Regions from separate parts of the Mus musculus genome. Here region 2 is reported to be linked to region 1. Evidence: microRNA targets listed by miRTarBase, many of them from high-throughput screens and not tested one by one. Region 1 holds a microRNA gene; the other region holds the end of a gene's coding sequence.

The links. The annotated mature microRNA mmu-miR-764-3p reads AGGAGGCCAUAGUGGCAACUGU and lies in region 1 at 1,788-1,809, shown strand. An mRNA with a match to its seed (bases 2 to 7 or 8) in the 3' UTR can be bound and repressed. Matches are read on the target gene's strand: a 7mer-m8 pairs with bases 2 to 8, a 7mer-A1 pairs with bases 2 to 7 and ends in A, and an 8mer does both.
Region 2: miRTarBase lists Slc25a39 as a target of mmu-miR-764-3p. Seed matches in the 3' UTR shown: 7mer-A1 at 942-948.

Annotation. Positions count from the first base shown.
Region 1 is chrX:147,000,537-147,003,650 of GRCm38, forward strand. Mir764 (microRNA 764) reads left to right here and starts at 1,723; the gene lies at 1,723-1,830. The region is part of intron 2 of Htr2c (5-hydroxytryptamine (serotonin) receptor 2C); the gene reads left to right.
Region 2 is chr11:102,400,860-102,403,973 of GRCm38, reverse strand. It overlaps Slc25a39 (solute carrier family 25, member 39), which reads left to right. Exons shown (of 12, transcript NM_026542.3): 10 at 102-183; 11 at 261-341; 12 at 439-1,005. The coding sequence ends at 554. Rundc3a (RUN domain containing 3A) reads right to left here. Exons shown (of 11, transcript NM_016759.5): 10 at 2,974-3,080; 11 at 1,419-1,993. The coding sequence ends at 1,851. Among named protein-coding and RNA genes, the nearest start is that of Mir6930, 2.6 kb to the left of the region's middle.

The DNA of each region.
Region 1 (3,114 bases):
GAACTAGAGTTGGGAATCAATGATCAGAAATATTATTTGTTTTTTGTTGTTGTGATTTACTGTTTATTTGTTTCAGTACACAATATGAAGTTGTAAATCTATATTTTCTTCCTGTTTTGCCGAACATTTTTAACTCTTCAATTTTTAAAACACTTCTAACTTTAAAAACTGAGTAAATGGAAAAGAATCAGAAAGAATGAAAGCAAAAAGTGTATGGACTCTTTTTACAATGTGCAGAAATAGAAAGCTTCAGAGATCTTTGATTAAATATAAATGTACGATATATCAAAAGTAAAGTAGGTTAATAGATTAATCTTCCAGTATGCATTTGATTATTTCAAGTTAATTAAAACTCTAATCACTCTGGGAGTGTGTGTGTGTGTGTGTGTGTGTGTGTGTGTGTGTGTGTGTGCGAACATACATAGAGAGGTACATGTATGTGCAATAATTGTGTTAGGAAAATCGGAGTATAATTTAAATTCTGTGGTTCATCTGATAATTTCTATAGACTTGTGACACTTTGTCAAGCCCTTGCAAGGATTAAGCATATTAAGAAAAATTAAGATGTTAACTCATATTGATATTTGAAACATGGTACCAACCTCAGAAAATATACAACACTGAGCAAGAAGGTGATGGTGGCTGCTCTCATTGCTTTTGCTCTTCCTCCTCCTCCTTCTCTTACTTTTCTTCTCTTCCTCCTTCTCCACTTCTTTTCTCCCAACTGAATAACATAGGTATTATATAAAAAGAGTGTGTATAATTTTTTAAATGAGTGTAGCATAATTGAAATGATTATGATGATGAATAATAGGTCCTCTTTCCTAATAAAACGTAAACATTTCATGAAAGAGGATAAAGTTGAATCTGTATCTAGTGAGTTTCCAGGCTACTGACTCGGTGATGTTTCAGTTATAGATGAGGTTTATTTCTTTTTTTTCTTTTTGAAACAAAGTCTTTCAGTTCAGCTCATACTGACCTTGTATTTGCTCCACTTTTGCTTTAGCCTACCCGGTACTAAAATTGCATGTGGGCCACCATGCCAAGTATTTTTTTTTCATATTTACTCAGAAATAAGTGAGTCGTTAAATGAAATAATCATTGATTTTTCTGAATAAATTCATTCATAATTTATTAACAGCTACTGTGAACCTATTCAGGTCCAAATGCCTTAAATATAATAGGAAAATTATTCTGATGAACAGGAAGTTGCCCAATAATATTTCATTGCCATGAACTTTAGTTTAACAAATATAAGTCCAATGTATTGTAAATGAAATCCTTGTGTGTTATATTTTAAGGTTATAGTTCTTGTTTTTGAGCATGATTTTGACAATTTTATCAATGTTTTCATTAATGTTCTGTAAAAATAGTGAATATTCATAATAATTTTTAGTATTTATTTTGCTTTTGCTTTCATAGCTCCACAACTGAACATCTTTTATACCCTGATTTTATTATGAAATGCAAAACAAATAGTTCCTCCTGTTACAAAAATTGTGTAAATATTTTGATCAAATCATCTTTGATTTCTATTTATATGATAAAACATTGTGCAAGAAACATTTAAAATACCATTTATTGATTACATTGTAAATTTTATTAAATTCTAATTAAAAAGTCATGAGGACTTTGATTTCTGAAGAAAAACATCATGATGAAAGTAGGAACTCATTTGTTATGTACCTTGTGGTATTGTTGGAAGGTTATCGTGTCATAGTATCAACACAATCTGAATCTTGGAGGCAGGTGCTCACATGTCCTCCTCCATGCTTATAAATACATGGAGGAGGCCATAGTGGCAACTGTCACCATGATTGATTTCGTTGGGATAGAAGATTGACAAGCCGGTTGTAATATTTCTTATAGCAGGAAGACCATCATTATACTTAAACTCCTCAAGGTAGAGCAAAGGAAAGAATTTTTGAAATGTAAAGGTTGGGAAACCAGGATTGTTTTCTCATATTATTTCTACCAAAAAAACACAATGTTTAAACCATCCATTGTCCTTACACCATAATGTCAAAATGACAACTGGTATGTTCCAAAGACAAGAAAATATAGCGATAAAGGAACTGATACATTTTTAGTTGTTTATATACTCTGCCAGTTTTTTGCATAAGAATAAGAATATGTGAGAACATTAGCATATGACCATCATGTTTTATAATCTTCCTAATCATAATAATGCATTAAGTTCAATCTAAGGAATAAGATTGTTTTATGAAACTCTATGACTCTGGAGATTGATATTTGAAGAAATTGTGAATTTTATGGTAACATGATATAACACTAGAATAATTTCCTGACAAACATCATAATTAACATATGAATTTACTATTTCCTTATTCAACAACTATTTTATAACAGCAAATATATGCATGGATTTTTTCATTTACATTCTATTCATAATAGTAATCATCACAGCTTCTAGCAAGAGTCTAATCTGAATCATTAATTCTACAATTGAATTTTATCCCTCTTTACATATACAGTTCAATATATTTTATCCTCACTTTGAAAGAAAATGTAAAACAAGGCTAATGGCTAGGCATGACTATTGAGTAGGAATCACAGGTAACTTCTTAAATGACGCTGATTGACCTCATAAACTGCCAGTTACACTATCATTTGCAACACCACAGGATATAGTTTAAACATGTTTTGGTCTTATGAGATTGTCATTACACTCATCACATAGAAATACGCTGTAAAATGTTTTCATCTTTTCTATGTGTAAATGAACCTTGGTAATATGCTTAAGAATTGCACTTTTAATAACAAATCATCCGTATTTTTAAAATTATGTTGAATTTTCATATATTTTGGATTTGATAGACTGTATAAATGAGAGGAATTTCTTGAAGACTTAGTACTTATAAGGGTCGATGCCTGTATTGAAGACAAAAGCATATTCTTCATATTCACACTGCTTGCAATTAGCAGGCAGGATGTTCTGACCATGCTCTTAGGAGCTGAGCCTTTCTCTTTTACACAATTGAATCATAGCATCTTTTATTCTAGTGTGCTTTCTATTTCACCATTACAGTTTTCATTGTTTTTGCAGTGTTGACAATAAGATCAAACTCAGGCCATCATTTGAATAGCTCATTA
Region 2 (3,114 bases), not on the chromosome of region 1:
GCCTGCCAGGGAGCCTGTGTGCTTTCCTCAGCCGCCCTTGAGATGCGTTAGTCCCTCTCAGGGCTTGGGAATGGAGCTGAGCCCTGTCCTCACCTGACCAGGTGGCTGCCACCCTTACCCTACCCTTCGATGTGGTGAAGACACAGCGACAGATGTCACTGGGAGCGGTGGAGGCTGTGAGAGGTAAGCTGGGCTGGTGAGGGGAGAGGGCAGGCAGGGGCCTGAGCTGAGCCCTACTGAGCCGGGCCTTGCATCTGCAGTGAAGCCGCCCAGAGTGGACTCCACCTGGCTCCTGCTTCGCAGAATCCGGGCTGAATCTGGCACCAGGGGACTCTTTGCAGGTCTGTCTCTGTGAATGCACTGCATATATGATACATATCCATGCTGTGTGTGTGAGGGGACCTGGACCCCTCACTGTGGTCTGTCTTTCCATCACAGGCTTCCTCCCCAGGATCATCAAGGCTGCACCCTCCTGTGCCATCATGATCAGCACTTACGAGTTTGGCAAAAGCTTCTTCCAGAGGCTCAACCAGGAGCAGCCTCTGGGCCGCTGAAAGTCGGGGAGCAACCGGCTCTTGCACGGGTGGGATCAGGAGACTGAGCCAAGTGCCTTCCCTCCCAGTCCAGTCACCCAGGCTGTCCTCAGACCTGGATTCCTGCTGTTTCCCTTCCCAGGATTGCCCCTCTCCCGCCTCCCGAATTCAAGACCAAATCTGATGATCGCCCTTTTTTGTATCCCCATGTTTGTTATAGCTTGGCCCGAGGAGCTTGGGCCAGGCAGTATCTTGGCCCCATTCATTCCTTGTCTAAAGATGATGGTCTTCTGTGCACAGCTGTGGCTGTAGTGTCTTGGGGTACGTGTGCACGTTTGGGGGTCCCCAGTCAGACACAGTGGCCCACACCTGTTATTCCTTCACTTGGGAGGCTGAGGCAGGAGGAGTGCCTCCAATACCAAGCCAGCCAGGACTACACAGCCAAATTCTATCTTCACAAAAAAAAAAAAAACCAACAGCAACAAAAAGCTGGCATCTACAGGTATGGTGGCCCCGAGAGTTCATGGCGAGCAGATCTGAAGCCTGCCTGGCCTACATACTGAGCTCCAGGCCATCCAGAGACCTTGTCTTAAAAGCTTCCCACCTTAGGGGGTACCCAGACAGATCTGGGTGAAAGGTGCCTGTCTGGTAGGTAGTAAGGGCCTTTCATGTGGGGCCCACTGTGTTGGGGTGAGAGCAAGTCTTAGAAGGGTCAGATCCAGAAAGCACCTGCAGATGTACAGAATCCGGAGCCCCCTCCCACTCAGCCCACACCCTGAATGATGGCCCCATGTGGTCCCCCAGGGCACATCCTCCTGGCATGTGTACCTTGGTTAACAGACCTGTTAGGGAGCCCTTACCCCACTCTCCAACAGATGAAACCACTTCAGTCCTCTGGTTTTTATTTGCCTAATCTCTCCCCACATAGGTACCAAGGAAGGGTGACTTCAGAGGGTACACAGGGTTAGACCAGAGGCAGGGCAGCAGGAATGCCAGGGCTGGACCACCTGCTCCTGAGGCAGGTGTGGAAGAAATCAGAAGGAACCAGGCAGCCTTCAGAGCCACCAGAATGGAGCGCTGTCCCCAGGGGACTGAGGATCTGTAATCTGGGTGTCCCTCGTGGCCCCACCACTTCCCATGCAGCTCCTGCCTCCTTGGCAGGAAGCTGAAGCAGGAAAGAGGCTTGGGTCATCTTTCCCTAGAGACCCGAGGCTAGGTTGGTGGTGTTCTTGAAGGGTGGCCTGGGTTGGGGGACTCATAAGGTGGCAGTTGTCCATGGCCCCTGGCAGGTGGGGCTGGTGTTGCCCTTGGTGCTCCTCAGCTGGGGCTGAGCGCCGGGCTGCCCTCAGGGCTGTCGCTCACCAGGCATTCGTTGGATTTGAAGCTTGCCAGGGACTTGCAGCTGGGGATGGAGGCCAGGGAGCCGCAGAGGCCCAGCATGGAGGGCGTGGGGTCCTTCCCTAGGGAGAGAGGGCGGGTAAGGCCGGGCCAACCAGCCTGTGTTGTATGTGGGGAGGAGGTCCTCGTGGGTGGGCAGAAGGGGGGCAGTTCTCCAGTCACCCCCAGGGGACGTGGCCTCTTCTGGAGCATCTGTCATTTTTAATTAAACCTTGATTGAACATTCCTTGCACAGGGCTTGAGACACTGTGTCATAAACCATCAGTTTATGTCTCTGTCTCCCCAAGGTTCAGCCTTTCTTTGTCCATTTATTAAGCACACAGTGAGCATTTGCTCTATTTCACACTCTGGGGATACAGAGAATGGACAAGACATGGTCCCTGCCCTCACGGAGCTCACAGTCTGGTGGGGAGACACACACAGTCACAAACACAGTGTGGTGAGTTACATGTCCAAAGCCTGCCTCGTCTCAAAGTCGAGTTATCCAATACAATATAATATATATCTATGTATTTAAAAAAAAAAAAGGCAGGAGGTCCAGGCATAGGGGAAGAAACTAGGAAGGGAGTAACCAAGGAGGGGTCAACACAAAATGCATGCGTTGAAGTCCTGGGCATTCGCTCAGAGGGAGCCACTAATTTGGTTCTGAGCTTCCTGGCAGCCAAAGAAAGGGGAAAACATTGGTCAGGCAAGCCGTTCACAGTGTGTGTGTGGGCAGAGCCAGCAACATGTGTCTAGTGTCATGACACTAGAAAGCCGTTGCGCCCTCTCCATACGTGCACTCTGGAGGCTCTTTACCAACATCCCTATTTTACAGATGGGAATCTGAGTCAGCCAAGTGCAGAGATTGACCTCGTTTACAGGTAGAAGAGGTGGGGCCCGAATTTGCACTTTTGTTTTGAAACCTCAAGCCAAGCTCCTTATTGGTGTATAAGTACAGGAAGAGTTGAGAGAATAAGGGGTTCAGCCACGGCCTGACTACAGGGGCCCTATCCCTTTTCTGAAGTGCCAAGGTGGGTGAGTGTGTGTGGGGTGTGCTCACCGATGGGGCCCCAGGGTTCCTCGTCCCTCTTGGCCTCTCCCAGGCGCTGGGAGTCTGAGCTCAGGCTGGCCTCTGCAGACAGCGGCTCCGTGCTCATGAAGCTGTGTCTACAGCAGAACAGAAAAGTGCAGGGAGTGACCC